4 linked regions of the Struthio camelus genome follow. The protein of the gene in region 4 interacts with the protein of the main gene of each other region in a pairwise test. Links are inferred from orthologs where the notes say so. Each region holds a gene or a part of one and is shown on either strand. Other genes may lie near its edges. The genes, in order: BTF3L4, CCDC146, HYPK and TXLNA.

Evidence for each region.
Region 1: the proteins of TXLNA (region 4) and BTF3L4 interact in binary tests that used the Homo sapiens proteins (3 or more experiments, as listed by UniProt). The two-hybrid records come from large-scale screens. The link is inferred for Struthio camelus from reciprocal best matches to the Homo sapiens genes TXLNA and BTF3L4.
Region 2: the proteins of TXLNA (region 4) and CCDC146 interact in binary tests that used the Homo sapiens proteins (3 or more experiments, as listed by UniProt). The link is inferred for Struthio camelus from reciprocal best matches to the Homo sapiens genes TXLNA and CCDC146.
Region 3: the proteins of TXLNA (region 4) and HYPK interact in binary tests that used the Homo sapiens proteins (3 or more experiments, as listed by UniProt). The two-hybrid records come from large-scale screens. The link is inferred for Struthio camelus from reciprocal best matches to the Homo sapiens genes TXLNA and HYPK.

Annotation. Positions count from the first base shown.
Region 1 is NC_090949.1:31,393,995-31,400,849, reverse strand, and holds the start of BTF3L4 (transcription factor BTF3 homolog 4), read right to left. Parts: upstream 3,023-6,855; 5' UTR 2,866-3,022; exon of another isoform or gene 2,057-2,865; intron 1,924-2,056; exon of another isoform or gene 1,588-1,923; intron 949-1,587; 5' UTR 939-948; coding exon 885-938; intron 1-884. Other genes in the region: TXNDC12 (thioredoxin domain-containing protein 12), read left to right, coding at 6,768-6,855.
Region 2 is NC_090942.1:14,107,403-14,114,928, forward strand, and holds the start of CCDC146 (coiled-coil domain-containing protein 146), read right to left. Parts: upstream 3,011-7,526; 5' UTR 1,510-3,010; coding exon 1,355-1,509; intron 1-1,354. Other genes in the region: protein FAM185A, read left to right, coding at 3,563-3,950. UniProt on the Homo sapiens protein: Essential for sperm flagellum biogenesis and male fertility.
Region 3 is NC_090953.1:424,509-432,189, reverse strand, and holds the start of HYPK (huntingtin-interacting protein K), read right to left. Parts: upstream 3,012-7,681; 5' UTR 3,008-3,011; intron 2,958-3,007; coding exon of another isoform or gene 2,837-2,957; intron 1,876-2,836; coding exon of another isoform or gene 1,817-1,875; intron 1,746-1,816; coding exon of another isoform or gene 1,608-1,745; intron 1,534-1,607; coding exon of another isoform or gene 1,366-1,533; intron 1,021-1,365; coding exon of another isoform or gene 838-1,020; intron 589-837; coding exon of another isoform or gene 456-588; intron 310-455; coding exon of another isoform or gene 194-309; intron 1-193. Other genes in the region: STRC (stereocilin), read left to right, coding at 194-309, 456-588, 838-1,020, 1,366-1,533, 1,608-1,745, 1,817-1,875, 2,837-2,957, 3,034-3,125 and 8 more. UniProt on the Homo sapiens protein: Component of several N-terminal acetyltransferase complexes. Inhibits the N-terminal acetylation activity of the N-terminal acetyltransferase NAA10-NAA15 complex (also called the NatA complex).
Region 4 is NC_090964.1:8,542,301-8,550,159, forward strand, and holds the start of TXLNA (alpha-taxilin), read left to right. Parts: upstream 1-4,846; 5' UTR 4,847-5,077; intron 5,078-6,347; exon of another isoform or gene 6,348-6,395; intron 6,396-6,924; 5' UTR 6,925-6,958; coding exon 6,959-7,076; intron 7,077-7,859. Other genes in the region: KPNA6 (importin subunit alpha-7), read left to right, coding at 54-132, 650-775, 1,362-1,489, 2,059-2,237, 2,877-3,061. UniProt on the Homo sapiens protein: May be involved in intracellular vesicle traffic and potentially in calcium-dependent exocytosis in neuroendocrine cells.

The sequences.
Region 1 (6,855 bases), on a different chromosome or scaffold from region 4:
TCTTAAAAAGATGAGAAAGCTCTGCAGTCAAAAACGCTTCTTTATTTCCTTCATCCACAGTTTAACAGTCACTCCCAATTTCCATTATTCTTTTTTAACTGTAAAAGACAGAAACAACACTCAACTACTGCAGTACTTTCCCACAAGTTAAACTGCAAGACTAATATTATTCACTAGTAAACAACGTAAAACTCTTGCTGAGAACTTCTTACTAGTTATTTTTTTCCCAAGATGAAGCACAAATGCAGTGATTTAAAAAGTTCAAGCTTTTCTAACCAAGTAATTAACACTTTTAAACTGTTCTACTGACAGCAATTTCAGAATTCCTACTTTACCAACTTTGTACCAAAAAACCAAACCAAAACAAAAATAATAAAAACACCCCTACCACGCCTAGGGTTAGGAGATGAACACCCACACGGAACTACTTATACACTTTTTGTGCTATACTATTAGCTACCTGCCAGCTCAGAGAAAAGATTCAGCTCAGTGCAGGATCAGATGAGCCCTGGAGCTGGCATGAGGCAAGGGGCAGAACTTGCCAATGGGGAGAAGAGAAAGGACAAACTGCAGTAACCAGTAGGTACGCTCACGCAGAGCTACCAGAGGTCACAGCAAATCACCAAATGAAGAAGAAAGCTTACACACTTAAAATTACTGATCCAGTGACTGTGAACTGAGACAAATTGCATTTTACCTGGCAGTACTATGATCGCGACCACAAGAAAAGTGAATTTTTTAGGCCTCTAAAGTATATATCCAAGTTAGATTTTCTATGAACTGAAGTCTATGTTTTATAAAAATAAGTTTCAGAGAAGTTTCATCCTCAACCCATCGATTCAGAGATGCACTCTTTCCTGTAAGAGACTTTGTGTTTTTCTTACCTTTCCTCCTATTCGGACCTGAGCTTGAAGCTTGGCCAGTTTTTCTTGATTCATAGTGCTGTTCCTAAACGATGAGATATAAATACAGGTTATCTCTCAAAACATTAAGATAACTTGCATAATTCTTTTTAAAAGTACCTTCAAATTTGTAGTTTTTTTAAAATGGATAGAAGTTTCTCCAAAACAGCGGAGAGACACAGCAAACAAAAAGCTTTAAAGTCAATCTACTCAAGTAATTTTAAAAAAAGTGCCTACACTAGTTTGTGCATGTGAAACGCCTGCCTTATTATAAAGCAGATTATCAGGAAGATTAGTTTTGCAGCATTTTAGTAATGAAATATTAGCTGTTAATTTACAAGTATGTCACTTCACTGTTGGCACAGTCTAATTAGCTTGAGCTGCTCAGAACTGACCCAAACCAGCAGGTACTGCACAACTGCTCGTAGAAAAAACAGGAAGAAACCTTTATTTTTAACAGAGCCCAGGAAGAGAGTCACCACTAAGCTACTTTTAATGCTTTTTCCAAATAGCGAACTTCCAATGCGTCTGACTAACAAGCTCGCTCCGGGCCAGTTGAAGCTCGCGCATAAACAGGTATTTTTTAGGGGCCTCCAGCAGCTACACATCCAATTCAGTAACTGGGAAGTTAGCCAAGCAGATTTTCCTTAAAGCGGGAGCTTTAGAGACTGGCAAGGCTAAAAACCTCTAACGTCTGGAAAGCGCCTCAAGCCTTCCCGCACGGTAAGGAGGTCACCGGCAACCCTCACTGCGTTTCCACCGTGCAAAGCAGAGCGCGAAGGCGGCTCCCACGGGCCACCGGGAGGCCTCCTGCAGGGACACCGCGACGGGCCGACCCCGGCCGGGACAAAGGCCTCCGGCCCTCTGGCCGCCAGCCGCGGAGGGCCCCGTCCCTCGGCAACCGGCGACACCTCAGCCGCGGGGGGAAAGGAGGAGAGGGCCGCGCCGAGCCGCGGAGCCCAACGCACGGCCCAGCCCGGGCTCCGCCGTGCTGCCCCCGCCGCGGCCCGGCGGGGAGGGAGCCGGGCTGCCCGCGCCGCTGCCTCACGGCCGGGCTGGGCCCTTCCCTCCCCCCCCCCCGCGCGCGGGCCGCCGCGCGCGCCCGGGGATGGCAGCGAGGGGGGGGTGGCGGAGCGGGGCGGGGAAGTTCTCACCTGCGTCCGGCGGCTCCCCCGCAGCCCAACACGCGGTGAGAACAAGATGGCGGCCGAGGAAGGAAAGAGAAGCGCACAGAGAAAGGAAGCCTCGCGCCACGTGACGGCGCCAACCCGCCCCGCCCTCCACGCCCGCCGATTGGCGGCGACGCTGAAGCACGCTCGCGTCGACGCGGGCGCGCAGGGCGCGCGCTGCCTGCTGGGAGCTGTAGTCCTGTGCGGGGCGGACATGGCGCCACACCACAGAGCGAGCCCGGCGCGGCCCTCCCCTCTCCCGCCGCGTACGGCGCGGCAGCGTCCTGGCCTGTTACACCGGTGCAGCGCAACACCGGCTCGCTATGTCTCCTTGTCTAAAAAGGAGGGGAGGGAAGAAGGGCATACAAAGGTTTGCAAAGCGGGAGCGCCTGCAGACTTCCTGCTCGCCAAGTCAATGGGAGTTCTGCGAGTTAACGCAGGTCTCCAGCCGCCGCAGCCCCCCGGCCCCGAGGCAGCGCCCGGCGCCTGGCACGGCCGCCGGCTGCCCGCGCCCTCCGCCCTCGGGCAACACCCGGGACGCCGCGGCTCATGCCGCGCGATCCTGCACTTGCCGGCAACCTCTTCCCCCGTCGTGGATCCCCGCTCGTGTCATGAACGTTTGCGGCCGGTTTTACCTTCCCAAGCACCTGGGGCAGCACTGACAGTCCTGGAAACGGTGTTTATTTGGCAGAGAAAAATAAAGGCGAAATCCAGCCTGCGCTGCTTGCTCCCGCCGAGACGAGTCTTAATGGGGGAGGGAGGGAGGCGGAACCAGGGGGGGGCTTTCTTTTTACCAGGGGCCCGGCTTGACCGCGGTACCGCCTGCTGCGCCTCGGCGACCTGCCTCTGCCAGGGAGAAGAGCCGCGAGAGAGAAAAACCCACCGCCAGGGCCACCGCTGCCCTCAGCCTGTCAGCCGGCGGCGCTGCACCGCCCACATCCGCTTCACATCACTTCCTGCGCTTAAATAAATAAATAAATAAGTAAATAAAAAAAAAATCAGCGGGGCTGGTGCGCTCGCGAGCCGGAGGTGCCGCGGGGCGATACTGCGTGAGGGCCGCGGGGCGTCATGGCGGCGGCGGCCTCCATGTCGTGCCTGTGCCTCGCGCTGGTGATGGCGGCGGCGGCTGTGGCGGCGGACGGGCTCGGAAAGGGTCAGGCCGGGCTCCTCCTCGGGCGTGGGGCTGCCGCGACCGAGCTCGCCGGGGACGGGGGTGGGGGGCGGGGGGAGGCGCCGCTTTATTGCAGTTTATCGCGTTGCTTTCGGGCCTCGCTAGCAGGTGCCCGTCGGGGGCAGACGGCGTGATTTCTTTTTCCTGTCGAAGCCCCGACGCGCGTAGAGCCGCCCTGGCGCGCTGCCCCGGTTTGGGCCAAGCAAGGGGCGGCGGGGAAGGTGGCCCTGGCCCGCACCCCAACCCGCCTTTCCCCCCAGCGCCGGGGCCGCAGGCCCCTCGGACGCCGGCGCGTTGAGCACTCCTCGCTGGGTTCCTCTGTTTCATATCTGCCTCCTGAACCCCGGCCCAGCGGCGGGGTCGGCCGGGCGAGCGAGTTCCTTTCTCAGCGCTGCGTCTCGGCTCCGGCCTGGGTAGTCGGCCGTACGGTTCGATCGACGGCGGCCCGGCTGGGCGGTGTGAGTCCCAAACGGTCAAACATCGAGGCAGGCAAGCCGTCGTTGCCTCTGGTTGAGTCCCAAGTTCGCTGTCGTGAAAAAGAGGCGCTGTCTCATACGTTATTTAATGCTTTAAAGGACATCCTGAAGCTCACCACAGCATGCTTTTTGGTTGAAAGAATAACTTCTAAAAAGCCTTTGCTGGCTAGAGCAACCTAAGGTTTTCCTTGAGTTAACATGTTGGCCTTTGAGTGAAACAGTTGATGCGTCAATACGCTAGGTAAATAGGACTTCTGCTGATAAACCGACCTTTATTAGCCTTGCTACGTGCGGGTGGCTCCAATGTAGGCTTGTTTCTGGAGCTGACGCGTGTGGCTGGACAGGAACAGGATGCACCCCCCTCGCTACTGGCAAAACTAAATATTTGATGTGTTGCGTCACATACGTTCATGGCAGTTTGCGTGAGGAGACAAGCTAAGGTAATAAAAATACTGTGCCAGCAGTTCAAACCTCCCGGTTGCTGAAGTGCCATGGCGTTTTGCTGACCCGGCTCCCGCCTCTCTCCAGCTCCTTTGCTGCAGTCCTCTCTGCCTTCCCCGTGTCAGCCCTGGGGCTCCCGGCCCGCGTGCCACGCTCGGAGTCTCCTCTCAGATCTCCGCGTGGCTTTTGGCCGTGTGATGATATTGGTGTGTTGGTTATCGGGCCAAAAAAGTGGCAGTCGCTGCTTGACAGGTGTTAAAACGTATGTTCTTTCAGTCCTACCTCCGCTGACGTCGCAAGACTTGTTATGCAGTTACTGAATGAAACGTTGCCTGCGTTTGTCAGTCACTGTAACATTCAGAAAACTGTGTAATGGGGCTCTTTTGTCCTCTTTCACCATGATTATCAACAGCTGTAATGTTTGGTGTAGTATTTCTAGAGCAATTAATAATCATTTATCGGCCTCGGTATTTTAAGTTTTGCATTAGCCCACATTCAGTGGGATTTAGAAAGGCAAACGGGAACATGTTTAATTTGTCCCTGAGCAGTTAATAAATGTTCACAGATTGAGAAGGAATGGGGAGTCATCAGAAGGCACTTTAGTTTAGTCTCTGTTTCGGAGATTTTTTTGTCATTTGCATATGTGTAAATATTAATATGTGTGTGGTTTGCGTTTGTTAATTAATTTCAGTGAGATTCCTCGTAAGACTGTGTAGGATGTAGCTATTTGTCTCTCCATGACTATCCAGTTGTTTTTCTTCCAGTCTTTCCGAGACTGGGATTATATTTTGCTTTAAAAAAAGAATATAAAATGAGTTGAAAATGTCCTTAGAGGTTAGACTGTTTTCATCTGTTAGCTGACATGTTACATTACGCAACATTTATAAACCCTTTTCTCTGGCAGGTTTCGGAGACCATATTCATTGGAGAACACTAGAAGATGGGAAGAAAGAAGCAGCAGCCAGGTATGTTATGTAGTTCTAAATACAGAAAAGCGTCGCTAAGAAAGTCGCAAAGATTCTGTATCAGTCCAAATTTTAACCACCGAGAGTAGTGGTTATTAGAAGATGTGACGGTGGTTTAGGAGATTGTTCAAATCCCTCTAGTCTGTCTAGATTTTTCTTAACTTTGCTGAGGCGCCACCTCAGTTTAACCACTTCAGTCTAAGCACATGATTGAAGTCATGTCTTTGAAATGAGAAGAAAGTAGTTTTTGACTCTATCATAGCAAAGAAGGATGTAGACCCCCAAACCCACAAACACACGTACTTACTAGTACTCACTCAATCCCCCTGAATTCAACTGTGCGAATAGCTTCTGTAAAATTGAACATGCAGATATAGATTTGATGCCTTACTGTGAGCTGAGGGAGTCATTTTGCTGCCATCTGCAAAAGTTTCAAACTGCAGCAAACTGGTAAGTTGTGTAAACAGAACCTCTTTTGGGAATACCCAAACTCTAAAACAACACTGTCTCTATTAAAAGGTCTAAAATGTATTTTTTTAATTTGCAAGCTAGATCTGAGAAGATGTGTGCAGGTGCACAATACTGACATTAGTGGAAATGGATTATGCCTTCCGGGTGGGATGGTTAATTGAATTTTGCGCTCAAACTGATCCATCCACTCACCACACAATGTCTAGTGCAGACACCACATTAGCACAGATGGTACAGTTGAGAAGTCTAACAAAGTGCTTAACTGGACGTTTTAGCATTTATTTGATATACCTGTACAAAAACTAGGCAATTTCAGTATTTGCGGGAATAATCGTGGCATTGCTTTGCCACAAAACAGAGAAGATCTTAAAACGAGTTAACAGACCGTTAGGCTGCTGGGAGGATGGATACGCTCTCAGGCATGGGCAGCACGAGGGTTTGCAGTCAGGACCTGCCCCTGGAGATCCTGTAAGGCAGGATTTCTGTAAGGCGCGTGCTCTTCCTTCGTTGCCGGAAACACAGACCCGCTCGCTTATTTGAGTTCAGCAGCGTTTGAGTGTTAGTGAGTTGCGAGGCTTGGGAGAAACCAACAAAAAGAGAAGAGAAGCAGACCCCCCCCCCCCCCCCGAAAGCCGATTTTTGTTCTAAGGCCGATCCATAGGGCAGGAGATGAAAAATTACTGTATAGAATGATCTTTAAGGCATTTAGAGCCTATTTATGGGGAGGGGGGGAGGGTGACCTATCACCTCGCGTCCAGCGAGAATGACAAAAGCAGATGCACTGCGGGCCACAGGGTGTATGAAGATTACTGTAATGATGACGAGGAAACGATACAGATCACCCTAGCGCTGAGCAGAATCGAGGGGTGGCTTTTCGTCTCGGCTGGCGCCTGTCGCAGCCCTGGCGACCGACTCCCCTCCGCCGCCCTCGCCTTCGCCGCTCGTTTTACCAGCGACTGAAAGGAGCGGCGCTTCGCAAAGGCGCAAAGCGGCCTCACGGCTGTGACGCAGCCGGCCAGCCGCGGCGCTTCGGCACTCGCCCCGCCTCCGGCCCAGCGCTGCCGCTGTCCCGGGGGGCGCTGTGGCGCCGGCGGTCGCCCAGGCGCCGGCGTGACGCGAGCGGAAGCGGCGGGTCCCGGGCGTGACGCGAGCGGAAGCGGCGGGTCCCGGCCATGCCGCTGGTGGTGCTGTGCGGGCCGCGGGGCAGCGGCAAGAGCCGGCGGGCCGCGGAGCTGCGGGCGGCGCTGGACGAGCCGGAGC
Region 2 (7,526 bases), on a different chromosome or scaffold from region 4:
ACACACACTAGAATACAGGAAAGAAAACACAGAAAAAAAACAAGGTTTGCTCAACATTGTGCCCTAGGCATGACTTGAGAACTTAAGAAGGCTCAAGGAAGTAGTTCCAGAAAAACATTACAGAATAATGTTATTTACAAAACAAAAACTGAATTACAATAATGTAATACAAATATTTTGTAATAGAAATACATAAGAATTTTTAATAAACTTCACAAAAAAATCCTCATACCAAACATCTTGAGCTTTATGACATGAAGAAACACTAAGTAGTGACTAGCCATGTACATGGTAAATCTTGCCCTAACTCCAGATGGCAAGTTGAAAGGATACGTTCTTTCATCTGCAGGTAAACATCAGCAGGAACGTAATTCCAGCAAGAACACTCCTGCAGGGCAGCCTCTTCTTACTGAATAGTGAAGTTGTATTATTTCTTCATTACAAGTATGGCAAATGGATGACCTTAATCCTGCCCAAGTAGACTAAGTAATGTTTATATCCTTTGGGTTTCTGAAGCTGTCTGATCTTGTTCTGCACTTTGTTCTAACTGTCAAAGTGAAATACGTATTCCTTCTACAGCCTCTCCTGGAGGACCGTTTCTTTTAATTCTTCTTTCCTTAAGATCTCTCTTGGACTTCCCTTAGCCTAAAAGCTCCTCTTATATAGCTCTGGCTTTAAAAATCTATTTCATAAAGCAACCTAAGGTCTACTTTTTATTGTCTCTTGCATGTAATACAGAATATTCTGGTAAATTCTTTCACTTACCACAACATTCAGGTACGTAAACATCTGGCAATGACTAAGGAGTATGGTAAATCATTAAGGACTTACTTTCACAGGTCCTGGTTTAACCCACCCTATTGTACAGATGCAGACGTCTTGAAATTGCAGATCGAATTAAATCCCTAACCATTTGTAAATTTGATATAAGGTTTCTTTTCTGGCAGGTGACAAGTCAGAAAATTAAAAGTGAAAATAAATCTCATTTTATTGTTGCACAGATGGTAAGAAATACTTAATTTGCCACACTCCATACCAGCTGATATGGAATCAAGTAGAATTCAGTCACAAGCATGAAGGTGAAATGGAATTAACTTTATAGTTCAAATACAGATGACATCAGTAGAACCTTTCCTGCTTTCTTCAGTCTTCTTAAATATATTTTAAAGTGTGTTTATACCTCTAACAGGTGTCTAGTGGAAAAAACAAACCCATAAAACGGTGAAATATATAGGTAGCTAGGGCTTCAGCATCTTTGAACAGTTTGTCAAACCAAGACTCTCAATTACATGAGACATGCCAATATTAAAGATGATGCATAAGAAATGATGCATAGCACTGCATGGAGCCCAACCTGATAAACCTCTGCTCCAAGAAGACAGCATCAAATGCCCTATCAAGATGCTGCAGGAAAGGGGGGCAGCGGGGCAGCAGTGCTAAGGTTTGAGAGGAGACAGGAAACTGCGATAAGGACACAGCAGCACTAACTTCAGGAGAAATGTGTGGCATCAGTCAAGCCTCACCTGAAAAAAAAATTGGAATTCCTTGCTTTGAACGTAGGAGGTTAATAGAGTTATTTGTTGAATGGCCTGTCATCTGGTGGAAGCATAGTTCATTGCACCACCATTTAACAGGCCTGTAACTGCTTCCCTGTCAAATTATGTAACCAACAGCTAAACTCAGTATTTGGTTTCAGGGGGAGAATTCTGTACTGTTTTTCCAAAAGCAACTATTTCTGAAGACTTGACAATTTTAACTTATAGCCCTCTTCATGCCCCAAGATATGTCTTAATCTCTTTTTGTCTTTCTAGAATTCTAGCATATTGCTGACCGTCACTGTTTTGTCTTTCATTTAAGGATTTTTGAGACTGAATAACATAAACCAACAAAATAATTTAACTTGAAGAGCTTCATTGACCAATATGAATCCTTATTAGACTCTCTACAGTGAAAATTACAGAAAGACAAAAAAACTAGGACCAGCTTCTTTCCTATTAGAGATTTAAATGTCATTTTGGACTAAAAAATAATCACTCCCAGATGCAGATAATAACAGAAGTGAAGTTAACAAGATGAAAAGAGCTTAAAACCAAATATTATATTGTATGGCTTGCATAGTTATTTTTGGAAACAACACATGGAGTGTAAAAGAGTGAGCAAACCAATCAACAATCCTAGATTTCATTATTTCTTATGTTGCAATGTAGCTAAGACCGCACACCTTTCTATGCCTGTTTCATTATTGGCAGTAAGCTACTGTTAGGAAACCTACAACAGGAATTTAATCTCCAGCTTCACATGATCTATGCTCATCCACACCCCTTTTTAAAAATTATTGTATAATACTAATGTGGACTAAGAAGTCCATAAAAGTCTCTTTAACTGAAGTCTGTATTTCCCCACTTGTTGGTAAACCCTGTAAGGACTGTTGTTTCATGACACATTTGCACAGCACTAAGGAAAATATTTATTTGGCTGCCTGTCTGAGAAGCAGTCACAATAAATAACGTGTTAACCAAGCTATCTTGACAGCACGTAATTTTTGAGCTCCGCAACACTGTTTTGGAAAAATGTTTTTCGCAGCATATCTGGTAAACTGCTTCTTTATCCTCTGACCAAGGGCATTTCATCACGTGAAGCGTCACTGCGGGCTAAAAGCGCAGCGAAGAGCAGGGTGCCGCCCAAAGGCCTTACCCTTTCCTCCTTCCCCGCCCCGCGCTGCCGCGCCCCCTGCCTGCGGCCGCGGGGGCCGCAGGGGGCCGAGCAGGCTGGAAACCAGCCAGGCACCCCAGCGCCGGCGCTCGCACTGGACGTTAAAGCTCGGCAGCCCCACGACCGGCCCGAGGAGAGCACGGAAAAGGCCTCGAGAGCACCGAAATCATCTTCTGGCGCGTGAGGTGACCCCGCGGGAGGCCCCGCGAGGGGGAAGGCCGCCCCGGCCTGTCCTCGCAGCCTCCTCGAGCGGGGCTGAGGTGGCCCCGAGCCCCCCCTCCACCCCAACCGCTGCTGTCCCTCCGGGCCGGCAGGGCCAGGCCCGGCTCCGGGGTCCGGTCCGGTCCGGCCCGGCCTGGCCCACCGCCCCGGCCCCGGCCCCGGCCCCCTGCCCTACCTGCGCGGCCGCGGCCGGCCCCGGCTGCGCGGAGCGGCGTCCCACGTTCCTATGGCAACGCCGGCTCCGCTCCTTTCGTACTACTCAACCGCCCTCGCCCGTCACGCTCGCTCCTCATTGGCCCTAGGATCCCTCCCGCTGCCCTATAGAAGCAGAACACGGAAAAGCTCCGCCTCCCCCCCTTCGCTCATAGGTCAATGCGTACGGCTGCTGTCGCCCCTTTTCGGGAACTTGTAGTTCCCTCTGCTGGGGGGGGGGGGGAACTACGTCTCCCAGAAGCCCCCTCGGTGGAGGGGGGCGGGGACTGGCGCGAGGCTCCGGCCGGGCCCGCCGCCAACGGCTGTTTACCAGCCGTCCCGGTGCCCATCTGCGCGCTGCTGCCGCCGCCGTGTCGCGGCGGGAAATGGCTCCGTGCCCCGCGTAGCCTCGGGGGCCTCTGCCGCGCCGGGCGCCATGAGGGCGCTGCGCCCGCGCTGGGCGTCTCTGGTGGCGGGCGGGTGGCAGGGGAGCGGGCGGCGGGGTGGCTTGGCGGCGGGCGGGCCTCGCCGCGGCAGCTCGGCGGAGCCCGGCGGCGGTAAGGCGCTGAGGGAGTGGGCGCTGGCGGTGAGCCCGCGGGGGCGGCTGGCGGTGCGGCTGCCCTGCCAGGTGAGCGTGCGCCCGCTGGACCCGCAGCGCTACCCGGATGCCGACCGCGTGCTCGTCACCGTCAGCGGCGCCGACCGCGGCCGCCGCCTGGACCACGTCCAGGTGAGGTACGACGAGGTGCTGAAGCAGGTGGCCATCGTCTCCGACAGCGTGGGCAGCCAGGCGGCCGTGGACGTCAAGACGCCCCCGAAGTTCGGTGGGTGAAGCCGGGGGTGGCGGCCGCACTGGGGGCCCCCACGGCGTGCGAGGCCCCGCTCGACGCCCCTGGCCGCGCCGGCACCTGCGGGTGCGAGAGCTGCTCTCAGGCCTTTCTTAACCGAGGGGAGAGCTGGATCCCGCCCTCGGGTGGGGCGAGTCGCGGCTTTCCCGGCACTGCTCCCAGTGGGACTGGAAGTGCTGCTGGCAACAAGCATCCAGAAACGCCTCGTGGCCCCTTCCAAGGCTTGAAAACGTTGTCGGCCTTTGCTTCCGTGTCTCCCGGTTCCTTGCATGTTTGGACGTAACACTTGTTGAGCTTTGGTTTTCAACGGTTAAAGCTAAAACTAGCGCTCTTAAGTGGTAGCTCAGATGCCTGGTTTTATTTTTTTTTTCCTCTGACAGCTGGTCTTTTAGAAAAAAACAAGTAACTGCAGCTCAGCTGAGAGAATACAGGCCTTAGTGTTGTGCTATGCACACCTGCAGTCTAAGGATTGTTCCCAGTAGGGTTTTTGCATATGGCCTGCTACCAAGCTCTGTTAGCAGGCCAAGGGATCCCCAGGGGTCGAAAAGGGCTGGAAGGTAGCCATGCAGATGAAAAGCTAAGAAGCGCTCCCTTTTCCAGTGCAAGTCTTAGCAGTTTTGAGCAGAACAGAAAAATCTGGGCAGCGTTTCTCGTACAGAACCTACAAACAACTCATAAGAGCAGCTGTAGTAGCTGAAATCTGCTGGATTGAAGTCCTGAAAGTGGCCATAGGTTTAGGGAAGGAACAGGGCAAGCTTGCCTTAACAGATCCCCTTGCTTGAGCTGAGGTTTCGGGAGTTCCTGACTTAGAGATCAATTTCTGTTTTTCAGTTGTTAAGTATTTTTTTCTATGAATTTATGTAATTGCTTTTCTAACTATATGTGTGCATATGTAGATATATAGTGGTATCAAAGTATGTAGTGTAGATACAGTTCCGCTATGCTGAAAAAAATCTTCAGTTTACCAAAAACCCTTGTATTTGTTTCAAGTGGCTGTTTGAGACTGGCATTTTATTTCATTTGCTACTCTGCTGTAACTGTGCCATGAGAAATGGTGACTAATCCTATCCTGTTTATCCCTCCTCGTGTGTGTCATCTGTATATGTTCTCTTGGTTAGCGCTTTTCCAAGCTCTTCTGACAGCAAAGACATTCTGTACCTTTTTATCCTCGTTATTTTCATCTATATCCTCTCAAATTCTGTGATGTCCTTCTTTGTGAGGTTAGAAGGACCTAAACTGTATATCATCTTCAAAATGCAGTAGTGCAGTGGATTTATAAAGTGACACTATTCTCTTTTGTTCTCTGGTCACTGTTCATTTATTCTTTTTTTTTGAACACTGAGAATTGATGTTTCTCATCTGTATGAGAAACAAAACTCAAGGTCCCTCTTGTGTCCTAACGACTAATCTAGAGACGTATCTTGGGTTTAAAAAAAAAAATAAAATCAAGGGCTTCCCCTCTGCCCTGTCTGCAATGTGCCTCACTTTTTCCTATATAGAATAGCCGTGCGAATTCATGCCATGAGTCCAGCTAGCCCACTGTCCTGTCTACAGCAGCAATTGTAAACAGATGCTCAGGGAAGAATAAGAACAGGGCAAACACAGATGATATGTCATTGAAGTATTCTCACATCCATCAGCCATTTTCAGCTCTGATGTGGCTCAGAAAGCTAAACAGTGAATCTTTCTTTCAGTAAATCTTCCTTCCAAGTGCTTATCCATTCTCATCATGAAACTGTTTACATGTGTAAACAAACTGTAGGCCTTTTGGCGAATAATTGCACAGGTATACTGTCCACTGAGTATCTGTTTTTATCATTCTGGTATGCAGTATTCTAAGACCTTTCTGCAATTTGTCAGGTTTTTTTAGTAACTCTGAATAATTCGGTATTGTTGATGAAACTTTGCAACCATGATATTTGCAGTGTTTTCCAAATTCATGAAAGGCTAAAGATGACAGGTAATTTATTAGTTAAAAGACAGGAAATAAAGCATAGGACTAAAGACCTCGTCAAAGACTTCTGAAAATCCAAGTTGAGTGTTCATAAATATATCGACTCTTATCTACGTACTCATTGACTCTTTCAGTGAACTGTAGTAGTTCTATAAGGTGGGACTTCTTAAAAGTTTCTTACAGAATTGACTCTTCCTTATGAATTGTCTGTATACTAAATTCTTACTTTTTTCCTGCTTGGCAAGTACAAAGATTACATTTACTTGTATGGTTCATTAAGGGAGTCCATCCCAGGACTGCAAACAATCAAAAAACCTAAGTTTCCCATTTACTGCCCTTCATTTCTTTGGTACCAGGCATGTTTGGTTAATATAGGTGATAGGTAGCAGTCTTGTATTTGAGTTTTTCTAGGACGTTTGAATGACTATTGTGTGCTACTCCAGGCTTTTTTTTTTTTTTTTTAACTCTTCTTTGCGGGAGGGGCAGCGCAGAAGGTCTTACTGCATTAAGATCCAGGTAATCTCAGCCCTGATGCAAGGAATGCATTTAGCCTTTCAAATGTACTCTGCTCTTTGAGACTGCAATTGTATTTTGAACATCGACTAGCTCTGCAGACTGTTTGGCAGGCATCTTGCTTTTGATGTTCTTGAAATAGGTTTTATTAGTTTTTTTAAGCAAGTTGTTCCACTTAGTTTTGTGGTGAGATCATACAGTTCAAGTATCTTGCTCAGTATGTGTATTACAATCCCTCTTTATTACTTACTATCTGGCACCCCAGAGTCCCTGTGATGTTAGTATTGTTCAGGCTGTTATCCAGTTATATCTAGATTTATCTCTGGATATAATTGGAAGACCACCTTATTGTTGGTATTACAGTGAAGACTTCAGTGCAGTAGGTGTGCTGCTTGCCAATGAGGTTCTACTTTTAAGTATCCCCTCAGTTCTAGTTTCTTTGGGGTTTCGAGGTGGGTGTGTCTTTTATTTGTTTGCATGTGTGTGGTGTGTGTGTGTGTGCTTTTTTGTTGTTCTGGGTTTTTTTGATTACTAAAAAAATGTTTGGGTTGTTTCTTTTGTATAGGAAAGAAGTATCCATTAAACATCAGTGTTATCAGCACAGTATCCTAACCCTTGTAAAAACAAATTGCAATCTAGAGAGAAAGCATCATAGACTGCAAGCATTTCAGCATTCCACAGACCTGCCTTGAGTGCATGAGGTGTGTGTATTTATTACACTGTTCTGCTCAGATAGTTTTATCTGACCTCTTCTTCTGTCACTTAGCTGTAAGAAGTTGAGAAATTGATGTACACATTTTTACGGTCCTAGGTTATTTTTTGGTTTTGGGCATTTCTTAGCAGCTTTTGCATTTTTGAGTTGCAGCTTGTCCAGGAAGCTCCTAGGTTAGCTGAAACTCCCTAGAACCTGAAGAGCATTTGCAGAAGATGATAAAGGACAGGTTTAAATATGCATCTTAAATTAAAGGCAGCTGCTATTAGCACTACAGGGAGTCCTATAGGAGCCTATATTTGCTGTGTCTAGTCTTAGGCTTGTCTTTCAGTATCTTGCACAGTTTAGTAGTCCTTGCTGACACAGTTAACCT
Region 3 (7,681 bases), on a different chromosome or scaffold from region 4:
ACTGGGACCTGCCACCCCCCAACCCTGCTGCAGGACTGGGACTTGCCACCTCCGACCCTGCCGTGGGGCTGGGACCTGCCACCCCCCCGACCCAGCACCCCTCCGTCTGGCAATCCCCCATGCCCAGCCCGGTCTGGCCGGGAGACCCCGGCCAAGGCTCCCTCTGTGCGTTGACCCCTTTGTGCCTGGGCAGATCTGGGGGCTGGGGGACGGCTGGCAGCTGCTGCCCCTGGGGCTGGCGCAGGGCCACCATGTGGCACGCAGCCTGGTGAACGGGAGCCGCGAGGCCGGCCCCGCGGCAGCGCAGAGGTGAGGGCGACGGGGTGCTGCCAGCGCCCGCGCGGCCCTGCCCCGAGCCGTGCCCTGCCGCCCCGGTGAGGGGCAGGGAGCAGCGCCAGGGCAGGCGCTCGCAGGGCTGCCCGCGCCGGCTCTGGGCCGTGGCTGTTTCCGCGCAGGCTTGGGACCCTCGCCTGCTTCCTGAGCCCCGAGGAGCTGCAGGAGCTGGCGGCGCTGCAAGACCCGCGGGGGCCGGTGGAGCAGAGCCTGCTGGCGTGCGCCGCCGCGGGGACCCTGCAGCAGCATGGGCGGGTGAGCCGGCGGCGCGCGGGGCATCCCCGGGGCACCCCGCCAGCGGGCGCCCCGCAGCTGCAGCCTCCCGTCGCCTGGCTGCTGGGAGAGCCCGGCCACGACGGGGCCGCCGGCGCCGGCTCCTGGCCAGGCAGCGCGCTGGGGCCGGGTGCCGGGAGCAGCTCCGTCCCTTCCCCTGCCGTGGGGCCGGCCGGGGGGCAATCTGCCCACCAGCCCCAGGCTCACAGCCCTGCGGCTCCGCGCCGGCAGGTCATGCTCGCCCTCGCGGACTTGCTGCGCTCCACCAGCCTGGCCGCGATGGGCCCTGGGGAGCTGCCGGCGTGGAGAGGCGTCCTCCCCGAAATGGGGGTGGGCTTCCTGGAGCGCCTGTCGGCTGCCCAGCTGGACGCCCTGCTGCCCGCGCTGCAGCCCGCGCAGCTGACGCGCGCCCAGGTGAGCCCGGCGCGGCACCCCGGAGCCTCGCCGTCCGCCCAGCTGGCGGTGCCACCGGCCCCCCGGGCGCGCGGCCCCGCCGCTGGCCCCACCGCCTCGTCCTTCCCTCCAGGCATCCTTCCTGCTCACCCGGGCCGTCCGGAGGGACGACGTGAGTGTCCGGATGCTCCTGCCTCCCCCGAGCCCGGGAGCAGGGAGAGGACGAGACCCCCGCGCGGCGCAGCCCTGCGCTGCTGTCCCCACGCCTGCCCCTGCTCCCAGCCCCTCGGCCGCTCCCGGGGCCGGCAGCCCGGCCTGCCCCGCTGCGGCACGGCGGCCTGAGCGGGCCGGCGCGGTTCTTGGCAGGTGACGGCGGGCGACGCGGGCAGGCTGTGTCCCCTGCTGCCGGGCCTGAGCCCCAGGTCGCTGGCGGCCGTGCTGGCCCTGCTCCGGCGCCGAGGCTGTGCGTGCCTGGGGCCGGCCCTGCCGCTGCTCTCGGCGGCGCAGACGGCGGCGCTGCTGCAGGCCCTGCAGGTACCCGCAGGCGAGCAAGGCGGGGGCCCCTCGGCCGGCCGGCAGCGCTCACCCCGGCGCCCGCGCCTCCCCAGGGCCCCCGGCGGGAGCAGCCCCCGGACGGCTGGCCCGACTGCCTGCTGCCCCTGGTGCCGCTGCAGCTCCTGCGGCCGGGCGCCCAGGCCCTGCAGGGCGCCCCGCGGGCCCCGCACCTGCCCTGGTCCCCGCAGCAGGTAAGGGGCCGGGCACGGGGCCGCGCGGGCGGCCTGCGCCCCCACCGCCTCCCACCGCTGCCCCTCCGCAGGCCCAGCTCCTCTGGAGGGAGGTGGGAGCCAGCGCCAACCGCAGCCACCGCGCCACCGGGTGAGAGCTGCCGGCGCCAGCTGGGCCGGGGCTGGGTCCCGTGGAGGGCAGGGAGCTGGGAGAGGTGGGGTGCCCTGGGCAGGGTGCAGGGTGCGGGGGGGCCCTGGGCCAGGGCTGGGTGCCCTGGGCAAGGGCAGGGTGCGGGGGGGGGGCCTGGGCCAGGGCTGGGGCTGGGGGGGTGCTCTGGGCAGGGGCTGGGTGCCAGCTGGCCAGGGGCTGGGTGCAGGGGGGTTGCCCTGGGCAGAGGCAGGGTGCAGGGTGGGTGCCCTGGGCAGAGGCAGGGTGCAAGGGGTGCCCTGGCAGGGGCTGGGTGCAGGGTGAGTGCCCTGGGCAGAGGCAGGGTGCAGGGGGTGCCCTGGGCAGGGGCAGGGTGCAGGGTGGGTGCCCTGGGCAGGGGCTGGGTGCCCTGGGCAGAGGCAGGGTGCAGGGGGTGCCCTGGGCAGGGGCAGGGTGCAGGGTGGGTGCCCTGGGCAGGGGCTGGGTGCCCTGGCAGGGGCTGGGTGCAGGGTGGGTGCCCTGGGCAGGGGCAGGGTGCAGGGGGCGCCCTGGGCAGGGGGTGCCCTGGGCAGGGGCAGGGTGCAGGGTGGGTGCCCTGGGCAGGGGCAGGGTGCAGGGGGTGCCCTGGGCAGGGGCAGGGTGCAGGGTGGGTGCCCTGGGCAGAGGCAGGGTGCAGGGTGGGTGCCCTGGGCAGAGGCAGGGTGCAAGGGGTGCCCTGGCAGGGGCTGGGTGCAGGGTGAGTGCCCTGGGCAGAGGCAGGGTGCAGGGTGGGTGCCCTGGGCAGGGGCTGGGTGCCCTGGGCAGGGGCAGGGTGCAGGGTGGGTGCCCTGGGCAGGGGCTGGGTGCCCTGGGCAGAGGCAGGGTGCAGGGGGTGCCCTGGCAGGGGTCGAGCAGGTCTCCCCAGGGTCGCGGGCAGTACGAGCCGGAGCGAGGAAGGACACGGTCTCACCCCACGGCCGTGCAGCGCCCTGGGCTCGCTGGTGGTGGGCATGAGCTGCGCCGCGCTGCAGGAGCTGGGCCGCGAGGATTTCCTGGGGGCTCTGGGGACCCTCTACGCGCGGCCCCGCGCCCTGCCCGCCAGCCTGGTAAGGAGCAGGCTCTGCCGAGCCCGGCGCCGCCCGACGGCAGCGGTGCCGCCGCTCACGGCCGCGGTGTCCGCAGCGGCGCTGCGTGCAGGAGGAGGCGCTCAGGCGGCCGCCGCTCGCCCGGGAGGAGCTGGCACGGCTGGGACCCGAGTTCCTCATGGAGCTGCCGTAGGTGCCGGGGCCGGGGCCGGGGGCCGCCCCGTCCGCCGGCGGCGCCCGCAGCGCAGTCTCGGTCCCGCAGGGCGAAGCTGCTGGAGACGCTGCCGGGCCCGGCGCTGCGGCCGGCGCTGGCCCACGCGAGACGGCGGCCCCGCAGCCTGCTGGCGCTGCCGCCCGCCCGCCGCGCGGCCCTGGCTCGCGGGGCCCTGCGCGCCCTGTCCCGGGGCGCCGCGCCGGCCGGGCCCCCCCGCGGCCCCCCGCCGCTGCCCGCCGAGGCCCTGGACGCGCTGGGCCCGCTCGTGGGCTTCCTGGGCCGGGAGAGCGCGGCGCGCCTGGCCCCCGAGAGCCTCCTGCCGCGCCTGGCGGAGCTGCAGGCCACCTGCGTGGCCGCGGAGGCGGCCGAGGAGCTGGGCCGGCTGCTGCTGGCCGAAGGCGCGCTGGGGTAGGCGGCGGCGGGGCCGGGCCGGGCCGGGCCGGGCCGGGCGGTGCCGGGCGGTGCCCTGACCCCGCTGCCCGCAGGCCGCCGCCCCGCTGGCGCCCGCCCGCCCTGCAGCAGCTGGGGCGCCTGGTGTTCCTGCTGCCGGCCGGGAGCCTGCGCGCCGTGCCGCGGGTGAGGCTGCCCGCTCTCCGCCTGCCCGCTCTCCGCCTGCCCGCTGTCCAGCTGTCCCGGTGTCCCGCTGTCCGGCTGCCCTGCTGTCCCACTGTCCGGCTGTCTGGCTGCCCCGCTGTCCCTCTGTCTGGCTGTCCCGCTGTCCGGCTGCCCGCTGTCCTGCTGTCCGGCTGCCCCACTATCCCGCTGTCCCGCTGCCCGCTGTCTGGCTGTCCCGCTGTCCCTCTGTCCGGCTGCTCCACGTGCGCAGCCCTTGCGCCACCCCGGCCGGTGCCGACCCCGCCGCCCCCCTCCCCGGCCGGTGCCGACCCCGCCGCCCCGGGCCGTTCCGCCGCCGGGTCGGTGCCGCCCCGCTCAGGCCTCTGCCGCGCCGCGCAGGACTTGCTGAGCCGCGCCGCGGTGGAGCGGCTGCTGCAGAGCCAGCGGGACTGGGACGGGAGCGAGCTGGGCCGCCTCTGCCGCCCCCCCGGCCCCGGCCCCGGCCCGCAGCTGGAGGCCCTGGTGGCCCCGCTGGTGGGAGCCACCGGGCCGGGCCACCGAGGTGAGGCAGCGCTGCCCCTGCCCCGCTCCTGCCCTCGGGTCCCCAGAGCCTCCCCCCGGGGCTGCTCGCACACCCCTCGCCCAGCTGCCACGTGTCCCCTGTGCCCCCCGTCCCGGGTCCCGTCCTGCCTGGGGCTGGTCCTGCGTCCCCTGGTGCCCCCCGACCCCAGGCTGTCCCTGTCCAGGAGTGGTCGGTCCCCTGTGCCCCACGTCCCCGGTGCCGTCCCCCGGCATTGGCCCCGTCCCCCCTGTGCCCCACGTCCCCGGTGCCATCCCCCGGCATTGGCCCCGTCCCCCCTGTGCCCCACGTCCCCGGTGCCGTCCCCCGGCATTGGCCCCGTCCCCCCTGTGCCCCACGTCCCCGGTGCCGTCCCCCGGCATTGGCCCCGTCCCCCCTGTGCCCCACGTCCCCGGTGCCGTCCCCCGGCATTGGCCCCGTCCCCCCTGTGCCCCACGTCCCCGGTGCCGTCCCCCCGGCATTGACCCCGTGTCCCCTGTGCCCCACGTCCCCGGTGCCGTCCCCCGGCATTGGCCCCGTCCCCCCTGTGCCCCACGTCCCCGGTGCCGTCCCCTGGCATTGGCCCCGTCCCCCCTGTGCCCCGCGTCCCCGGTGCCGTCCCCCGGCATTGACCCCGTGTCCCCTGTGCCCCACGTCCCCGGTGCCGTCCCCCGGCATTGGCCCCGTCCCCCCTGTGCCCCACGTCCCCGGTGCCGTCCCCCGGCATTGGCCCCGTCCCCCCTGTGCCCCACGTCCCCGGTGCCGTCCCCCGGCATTGGCCCCGTCCCCGCCGTGCCCCACGTCCCCGATGCCGTCCCCCGGCATTGACCCCGTCCCCCCTGTGCCCCACGTCCCCGGTGCCGTCCCCCGGCATTGGCCCCGTCCCCCCTGTGCCCCACGTCCCCGGTGCCGTCCCCCGGCATTGGCCCCGTCCCCCCTGTGCCCCACGTCCCCGGTGCCGTCCCCCGGCATTGGCCCCGTCCCCGCCGTGCCCCACGTCCCCGGTGCCGTCCCCCGGCATTGGCCCCGTCCCCCCTGTGCCCCGCGTCCCCGGTGCCGTCCCCCGGCATTGGCCCCGTCCCCGCCGTGCCCCACGTCCCCGATGCCGTCCCCCGGCATTGACCCCGTGTCCCCTGTGCCCCACGTCCCCGGTGCCGTCCCCTCCCGGGGCTGGGTGCTGCTGGGGGCCAGGGCTGGGGCCAGGCCGCGCTGCCGCCGGCTCCGCAGCCCCGGTGCCCAGCTGCGCCGACGTGCGTGCCACCTTCCCCGCGGCCTGGAGCGCGGCCCAGCTCGCCGCCATGGACCCCGCGCAGCTCCGGCCCTGCCTGGGGCTGCTCAGCACCGACCCGGCGCTGCGCCCCGACCAGCTGCGCGCCGTCCTGGGCCAGGCCAGGCGGGTGAGACGGGCCGGAGAGGGGGCGCAGCCGGGGCTGGGGGTCTGTGCTGGGCTGGGGGGGCAGAGCTGGGCTGGGGGGCTGTGCTGGGCTGGGGGGGCAGAGCTGGGCTGGGGGGCTGTGCTGGGCTGGGGGGCTTAGCTGGGCTGGGGGGAGCTGAGCTGGCTGGGGGGGGGCTGTGCTGGCCTGGGGGGGGTCTGTACTGGCCGTGGGGGGGCTGAGCTGGGCTGGGGGTCTGTGTTGGACTGGGGGGGTCTGTGCTGGGCTGGGGGTCTGTGTTGGATTGGGGGTTCTGTGCTGGACTGGGAGGGGCTGAGCTGGTCTGGGGGGCTGTGCTGGTCTGGGGGGTCTGTGCTGGGCTGGGGGTCTGTGTTGGACTGGGGGGGGCTGTGCTGGTCTGGGGGTCTGTGCTGGGCTGGGGGGGCAGAGCTGGGCTGGGGAGGCTGTGCTGGACTTGGGGGGGCAGAGCTGGGCTGGGGGGGCTGTGCTGGAGTGGGGGGGCTGAGCTGGGCTGGGGGGGGTCTGTGCTGGGCTGGGGGGGCAGAGCTGGGCTGGGGGTCTGTGTTGGACTGGGGGGGGCTGTGCTGGTCTGGGGGTCTGTGCTGGGCTGGGGGGGCAGAGCTGGGCTGGGGGTCTGTGTTGGACTGGGGGGGCTGAGCTGGGCTGGGGAGGGTGGGGGGGGGTCTGTGCTGGGCTGGGGGGGTCTGTGCTGTCTTGGGGGGGTCTGTGCTGGCCGTGGCGGGCTGTGGGACCATGCTGGCGCCAGGCGCCCCAGGCTCGGTGCCGGGGGGAGCGCGCCCAGGGCCGGCCGGCAGCTGAGCGGGTGCTGCCGGGCCGTGCAGCTGCTGGGCAGCGGCCAGGCGCCGCAGGCAGCCGCCAGCCTGCTCCTGGGCCGGCTGGCCACCCAGCTGGGCGAGCCGGAGCTGCGGCAGCTGGCGCTGCCCGACTGGGGGGCCCTCTCCGCCCTGGGCGAGCTGGACGGCTGGTCGGGCAGGCAGGTGAGCCCCCGGGCGCCGCGCTGCAGCCGGCCGGCCGGGCCACCGGGCCCCCGCCCGCCGCCCAGCGCCCACCTCGGGGCTCTGCTCCCCCAGACGCGGGCCGTGGTGTCCGGCTTCCTGCGGCAGCGCGGGGCCAGCGCGCGGGACCTGCTGCTGCCCGAGCTGGTGGCGCTGGGGCACCTGCTCTGCGGGCTGCGGGCGGCGGAGCTGCGGAGCCTGGACGCCGGGGAGCTCAGGTCCGTGCCCGGGCCGGGGGGACTCAGCTCCGCGCGCGGACCCCGGGCGGGCAGCAGGGCGCCGCAGAGGTGCAGGCAGGGACGCGGCTCCAGGCAAGGCTGCCACCGCGCCGCGCTGCGCCGGGCTCTGGCTCCGGGCACGCGACGCTCTCCGCCGCCCCGCAGCAAAGCAGCCCCTTTCCTGGGCTCCCTGAGCCTGCGCTGCTCGGAGCAGCAGATGGAGGCCTTGGCGGCTCGCCTGACCTCCAGCGCAGCCTTCGGCCCGGCCGGGGCCTGGGGGCCCGAAATCTTCACGGAGATCGGGACGCTGGCAGGTGAGGGGCAGTGCCGCGTGGGGTGGGACAGCAGCGTGCCCTGGCCCGCCACGGTGACTGCTGCCCCCCGCGCCCCCAGCCGGGCTCCCCGACGTCGTCCTCTCGGCGCTGGTCCCTGAGCAGATCTGGGCGCTCACGCCCCAGGCCGTCGCTGCCATCCCGGCACCCAAGCTGGCAGTGAGTGCCCCCACGCTCCCTCCCGCGGCCGCCAGCGCCAGGGCTGCTGTCCCACTGTCCGGCTGTCCGGCTGTCCGGCTGCCCCCTGTCCCTCTGTCTGGCTGTCCCGCTGCCCGCTGCCTGCTGTCCGGCTGTCCGGCTGCCCCACTATCCCGCTGTCCCGCTGCCCGCTGTCTGGCTGTCCCGCTGTCCCTCTGTCCGGCTGCTCCACGTGCGCAGCCCTTGCGCCACCCCGGCCGGTGCCGACCCCGCCGCCCCCTCCCCGGCCGGTACCGACCCCGCCACCCCCCTCCCCGCG
Region 4 (7,859 bases):
GTGCATGTGATCTGACAGATTTGTCTTCTATCCCTGCACTATCTTTTCTGCAGGCACAATGACTACAAAGTGGCCTCCCCAGCTTTGCGAGCTGTCGGCAACATTGTGACAGGTGATGACATCCAGACCCAGGTGAGGGGATGTGACTGTCTTACAGATGCAACTAAAGAGGAGTACAGCTCTTGATACTAATGATGCTTATGGTTGTTAGAAAGTATGTCTCCCTTATATATCAGTGCATGACTTCTTTCAGTGTGAGTGCTTTAGTTGGTAGCAGTCTGTTTCCATCAGCATGGTTTAGTCCGGCTGCTGCAGCAAGCTTTTAGAAGCAAGGCACATCAGAATAGTGTTTGTTTTTCTCTTGCTTTCTGTTATTTTGGATGTGTGGGGGTGGGGGGTGTGGTTTTAAAATGGAGCTTCAGAAAGTCTGATTTCAAGACATGGGAGATGGGGCAAAGTACCTCTCTTGTACCTTTTTCCCACAGTGATATAATAGGAGAAGTACCTTTCCTTCCCCCTTTCTGAAAAGGGCAAGGAGGGAAATGCAGCACCCATACAGCATATTCACTGTGTGAAAATTGAAAGAAGGTGGAAAACTTGGCTCTCTTCCTGATACTGGTGACCTCACTTCTGCTTTCCTTATCATAAGGTGATCCTGAACTGTTCAGCACTGCCTTGTCTCCTTCACTTATTAAGCAGTCCCAAGGAGTCGATTAGGAAAGAAGCCTGCTGGACTATTTCTAACATCACAGCAGGAAACAGAGCACAAATACAGGTACAGCTTTGAGGCTTTTAGGTTTCATTTGTAGTGATCTTGGAGTCCAAGTTCAGTGTTCAGAGTCTGCAAATCTTTTTCTTATCTGACCCTTAGAGGCTTTAAGCTTGTTTAAACTCTTTAAAACTCTTTAAATTTTGTGGGCAGGCTGCTCCCAGCTGTAGGCCAAATAAATTAGCTAAAAATCTGCTAATTGTACTACAAAGGGATGAGACTGAAATGACTGAATGTCCCCCTTTTGGATCATTGGAATAAGAACAGGACATAAAGCCCCCATTTCTCCATGCTCAATTAGAGATACCCCTTTGAAAAGCTGTAGCTTGTTAAGATGTAATTGTCCTTTTAATGGCCTACATAACAAGGCAGATAAAATGAGACTTTCTACAGGACTGATGCAATAATGAGGGACTATTTACTGTGCTAGTTATGGAATTGAATATAGGATTTGGTAGAGGAATAAAATGGAGGAATTGCTGAAAAAGGTTTAGGCCGGAAAGCTTACTGGAAAGTAGAGAGAGATTTCTTTCAGCTGCTTTTGGAAACCATGTTGCCAATTCAAACACTTCATACTGTTCTCTCTCCCCAGGCAGTCATAGATGCAAACATTTTCCCAGTGCTGATAGAAATCTTGCAGAAAGCAGAATTCCGTACAAGGAAAGAGGCAGCATGGGCTATTACAAACGCAACGTCAGGAGGAACTCCAGAACAGATCAGGTACTCCTTATGGCCCCACTTAGGGGAAATCGGTCTGAATGTATGGCAGCTTTATGTCTTTGGGATCTGCAAGACAAAGCAGTAAGGGAGAACCTCTGGGAGAATACCTGAGACATGGGCAAGGCTGTAGCTAGACAGTGTGCTCTGCTGTGCATTGCAGTTTCCTTCTGAAATGGGATAAGCAAGTGTCAGACTAATCCAAACTGCTTCCCTCTCACGTCTTTAAAATAGCTTAAACTAGGCTAAATGTCCAAACCTCATTTAAATTCCCGTGTGGGCTTAAACTCAGTGTCACCTGAGTTCACTTCAAAGGGAGCTGGCCCTTTTTTTAAAGGCAGGGTTGTATATGCATAGAAATAAGTGGAGATAAATATTAAGCTTGCAAAACAGTAAAATATACTAATAATGTTAAATAACGTTATAGTTATTTAACATTATATATAGCTTATATATATATATATAAAAAGTTATTTTAGTTTGACTCATTCCTTTGAGCTTTTTTTAAGTGAATGAAGGCGATGTTTGCTATCCTGCAAGCTGAGTGTATGTTCTGGGTGCTCTCTCTGTAGATACCTGGTAAACTTGGGTTGTATCAAGCCTCTTTGTGACCTGCTGACTGTCATGGACTCAAAGATTGTTCAGGTGGCGCTGAACGGCCTGGAGAACATACTGAGGCTCGGAGAGCAGGAGGCCAACCAGAGTGGGACAGGCATCAATCCTTACTGCAGCCTGATTGAGGAAGCCTATGGTAGGTTGTGGCTGGTGGCCTTGCTGCTATTGCCTTTGAAAACCGTAGGGTATGTTGACAGGTGTCTGCTGATGTCATGGATTTCACTTCTGCTTAGCACTTAAGTGTGTACCAGATAAGGGATTTTAGTATGTTCCAAATGAGATGTTATCACGTGGCCTGATTCTCCCAATAAGAGCAGTTCTTGAAATTCATAAGAACGTATGTTGCTTGGATGCTTCCTGTTCAGCAGTGGATTTAAGTCAGATGGCTAAAGCAGTCACTGCCCTCCTGCTGGAGGGAGGCCCCTGGGGTCAGGGCCTGCTTCTTCCCCCTTCCAGCCCCAGGACTGTCAAACTATTCATGGCCAGTTGTATTAGTCCCACTGATTTCAGTTTTGCCTTCAGCAAGGGAGCTGTGAGCAGCTAAGCCTACTGTTGTAAAGATGTCAGTGCTGTCTGATAGGGATTAAATTTCCAAGCAACTCTGGAGTAATGGGAAGAGTTAGCTTTAGATGTCAGAGTGCTGCAGACAAAATGCACATCTAACACAGGCAGGGGTCTTGCCCTGAACAGGGGTGAGGGTGGAGGATGGATGTGGGACAGTGTAAACACTGGGGTTCTCCATGTTTTGTCACACGCTGCTTTTCTCTTCTCTAAGGCTTGGATAAGATAGAGTTCCTGCAGAGCCATGAGAACCAAGAGATCTACCAGAAGGCCTTTGACCTGATTGAGCACTACTTTGGAGTAGAGGATGATTCTGCTCTAGCTCCCCAGGTAGATGAGAACCAGCAGCAATTCATATTCCAGCAACCTGAAGCCCCAATGGAAGGTTTCCAGCTATAATGTGCCCAGAGGGGAAAAGAATACTACAAACTTGCCAGGAAGCAACTGGGAGCAGCTGATGGTCCCACCCCCCTCCTTGCAAATGGAAGGCTAAACACCCACTCCACCTGTTAGGAAGCAACTCCTCCTTCAGAAACAACTAGAAGCAGTGCTTTGTCCTCATGGAGAGAAGGGGAAGTTCTTACACTTTTTCTTTTTGCTGCTGCATATGTGTCTTTAAAGCAGGCATCTGGGTGGAGGAAGGACACTGAGATAACAGATTGCACCTCTTGTGGGTTTTTTTTTTTCTTCCTCTTTGTGGTGATCTCCCAAATGTCACTTTTTACCTTGGGTACTTAAAATTGAGATTTCAGCATTGGGTTGGGTAAGAACACATAGAAAGTGAGCATTCTGATGACAATAATTCTGGAAACCTGGGTTGATCTATTTAATTTTTTTGCACATGTTACTCTTATTAAAGACTCTAATTTGCCAAGAGCAAAGTTTAGCCCTGGCCTTTCTGCGACCCTCCTTCAGTGGACAGTCCTGTTGGACCTGGGCCAAGTTCCCCTGAAATATACTGTAAATGGACAGAGAAGCAGGGAAGTCTCCCAATCCTGGGAAAGCTTTCTGGGGGAAGGATTCTTCTTTTTTTTTTTTTTTTTTCCTGGAGAACTGCTAGTGGTATTTACAAGGAAAAAAGCAACAAAACCCCAAAGATGGTAACTATGAAGAGGGTGGGATGCTTGGGTGGTTTTTGAAAGAGGAAGCACAGCTGCCATTGCACAGGCTTTGTTTGCATTGCTACTGACTGAAGTCACAAACTGTTGAAATGATGAAACCCATCTTCATTCTTACTTGAAGTTTTTTTTTTTCCTCCTCTCATGAAACCATGTTTTGAATTTTGGGGTTTTTTGGCTGGGTTGGGGTGGATCATAATATGGGCTGGGGAGGAAGAGGGCATAGCTACACTTGACAGCAGTGTTGTGTGCGGTGTTAACTTCAGTAGCAACAGGCCTGAGTTTTCAGGTTTACCTCCTGCTCACAGTTGGATCATGTACATTTTACTTCAAAAGGAAGAATCAAATCCCTGTATTTTTTATATTATATATAGGTAGATATTTGTCTAATTGGGCTTCAGAGAAAAATATATATGAAATTTCTGTAATTTATGTAAATAGAATACTGTGAGGCAGGCATACCTGGAAATGACGGTCTGTGAGCTCACTCACTGGTTGTCCTGCTTCTTTTCCTCTGTTTACTCATGTACTGTATAAGCAAACATAGATCTGTCTTAAACTCCTCTACCTGCCTTGAGTTTACTTAGCCAAGATCTCATTAAAAAACAAACTAAAAGGGGGCGGGCCAGGCTGCGGAGAGCGAAACCGCTGCGGGGGCGGCCCGGGGGCCGAGCCCCGCGCTGGTGAACGAGTAAGCGACAGCGGCGCCTCGGACGGCGGTGGGGCTCGGCGGCCCCCCCCCCCCCCCCCCCAAATCCCGGGCGGGCCCTCAGCGCCGGTAACGGCCGCCCCGCGCGCGGCACGCCGGGAGCGGTAGTTCGCGCCCCCCCCCTCCGGCCCCGCGCGCGGCACGCCGGGAGCGGTAGCTCGCGCCCCCCCCCGGCCCCGCGCGCGGCACGCCGGGAGTGGTAGTTCGCGCCCCCCCCTCCGGCCCCGCGCGCGGCACGCCGGGAGCGGTAGTGCCACCGGCGGACCCGCCGCCACTGCCGCCTCTCACCGGTATTTCCCGGCGGGCCTCGCGGCGCCGCAGCCGCTGATTGGCCGGCGGCGCGGGGGGCGCATGCGCGATGCGCGCACGCTGGGAGGCCCGGGCCGGAGCCGTGGCCTGAGCGCGGAGGCCGGAGGGAGGCGGGCAGAGAGCCGCCGCCGGCTGCGGGACCGGCGGGGCGGCGCCGGGGAGGAGGCCGCTCCGTCTTCGCTTCCCTCTGATGTGCCGGGGTGCCGCCGGCTCCTGCTCCCTGATTGGCTGAGGAGGGAGGGGGGTGACGCGTCAGACCCCTGGCGGTGACGTCACGGGGTACGTGGATGACGTCATTGCGGTGGTTGGGGGTGTGTGTGTCCGCCTGGAACGTCATGTCGGGGTGGGGAGGGGGGGCAAGGCCCTGGGGGTGCCATGGGGCGGGCTGTTAACGGGGGAGTAGGGCCGGGCCGGGGGTGTTAACGGGGGTGGTGACCGGGGTGGGGGGAAGAGGCTGGGGGGCAGGAGTGGGGCACGGCTGTGGGGAGCAGGTGGGGGGTATAGCGAGGGAGCAGGAGTGGGGCACAGCTTGGGGGAGCAGGCGGGGGGTACAGCGGGGGGCATGTGTGGGGCATGGCTGAGGGGGGCAGGCACGGGGGTGGCTGGGGGGCAGGTGAGGGGTACAGCGGGGGGCATGTGTGGGGGTGGCTGTGGGGGAGCAGGCAGGGAGTATTGGCTGGGGGACAGGAGTGGGGCACGGCTGTAGGAAGCAGGCAGGGGTACAGCGGGGGGCAGGAGTGGGGCACGGCTGTGGGGAACAGGCGGGGGTACAGCAAGGGGGCATGTATGGGGCACGGCTGAGGGGGGCAGGCACGGGGGGTGGCTGGGGGGCAGGGATGGGGGTGACCGGGGGGCAGGCAAGGGGTACAGCGGGGGGGCAGGTGTGCGGCACACCTCGGGGGTCGGTACGGAGCGGGCAGGAGGGGCAGCGTTAGCTGTGGGGCAGCGCAGGGGTGCCGGCGGCGAGGGCAGGGGGTGCCGGGGCGGCGCGGCCGGGCGGGGCGGGGTGCGAGGAGCTGCCCCTCGCCCGGGGTGCTGCGGAGCCGGCCGTCGTCCGCCGGCGCCTGGGGCAGCGCGCGGGGGCTGCGCTGTTTCCAGCAGCAGCGGAGGAAAAGGAGCGCCCGGGGGCTCGGCGAGAGCGGGGCGCTGGGTGCCGCGGGCCTGCCGTGGGAGGGGGCGCAGCCTCGCCGGCCTGGGGGCGCGTGATGCGCGTGCTTGGCTGCTGCGCCTGCTCCTCGTTTTCGCCCGTGTTTTGCTTCGGCAGCCGTGTCCTGGGCTGCTCTCTCGGAGAAAGCTCGGGTCTCCCTGGGCGATGACTGCAAAACTGCAGCAAAGGCTTTTTCCCACCTCTTGCAGAACGCTCCCTTGGCTCTAGACTAGGAGCACTGGCTGCCTCTGCTTTGTAATTAGTATCGTGATTGGAGCAGAGAACGCGGGGGAAAGAGTCAGGGAGAACATACCCTGCTGGGGGAGAGAGGAGGGAGACGAGCGGGGAGCTGAGCTCGGGCTGTTCGTTGTGGCTCACGGTGATGCTAGTTAATCTTTTCAGCGCTGAGCTCCAGCTCTGCCTGGGAGCTGCACACTTTCCTCCAGCCAGGTATGCGTTTTTGTTTTAGTTGGTGCTGACTTTTCTCCTGCGGAGGCTTTGGTCTCTGGGTCTTCCGCGTAGACAGGGGATTTATTGCCAGTGTGCACAGATCACTCTCAGCTGTGAAACATGTTTCTTAGCAGGGAGGAGAAATGTTCCAAGAGGAAAATATGGTGGGGCAAGGGGAAGTAACAGTGCTGAGAAAGATGTGCCCTACATGCTGCACGTGATTCGGGATTTGCTGCCTTGCCCTAGAAGGGGCTGCTTCTAGCATTTCTCAACTGGAAGAAGAATTATTCTGATATAGAGGCCTTTGCGTTCAGGCGCAAATCGCAAAATGCTGCTTTCCTCTGCGCTGAGCCGCAGGTGGGATAGTGGCAGCTGGCAGTGGGGAAGCAGCCTCCCCAGGGACGAGTTGCTTCTCCGTTCTGAGTTCATCGGTTCTCGTTGACTCCCCAGCAAGGTGATGAATCCTGCTATAACCCCCTAATCTGTTACTTCTTAAAATTAAACGTAGTTGCTGTTTCTCTTTTGCTAGGGTTTGTTGAGACTGAGTGGGGAGAAAAGTCGTGATGAAGAACCAAGGTGGGGAGACCAAAGCTGCCCTGCGGCCTGCTAGTTCTTCCAAAATGAGCAGCAGCCTCGTGCTGGAGGAAGGCGACTTACCTGAGGCCGCAGCACCCCTTGAAGGTGGGGAGACCCCCGGTCCCGGGACACGCAGCTCCCTGTCGGTGGCTGGGGGCAGTGCTGACAGCCCGAGCAGCGGCACGCAGGGAAGCGGGAGGGTGGGTTTCAAGCCTGAAAAGAGTTGATCTCTTGCTTTCTCCATAGGAGGGTGGGCTGTTGTATCCAACTCTTTTTACTTGTATAAGAGCAGTTGTGATGTCAGGAGCAGAAAATCCTTGTTTCTTATCGCTTCTGCATATGTGCAGTTCTGAAGTAGTTACTGCTGCCTTGGGGAACAGGTTACCAAAGTGTGGAGTTGCATCTGCCTTTGATCCTGACCTGAACATGATGGGTTATTTGCTGTTGCTTAGACCTGAAGGATCCCATACAGGAGAAAAGTCAGACAATCTTTCCCTGGGGCAGTGTTATGTTGAGTGACCTGCCCTGTTATCGGCGCTTTTCAAGTCATAAAAATAATTCTCTAGAAGGAATAAAAAACATGTCTAGTAAAGTAGGTGCTTAGTTAAAATTCACCCGGCCTTATGTATATTCTGATGCCTAGTAAACGTGGGATGTAGTGAATGCCCAGTGCATAGCGTTAGTTTAATAACCAACTGCTGTCTGTTATCAAGGAGTCTCATTTGGGGGAATTTTGGAAGCTAAGACGCGTACTAAGGGATGGGCTGCCTACTCCTTCCCTAAGCATCTGCTGTTGGATGCTCTTAGGGACAAGATACCTTTGATCTGACCCAGTACAGCTGTTCTATATGTGACGAGAGAGGCTAACTTGGGTTTTAAATCTATTGT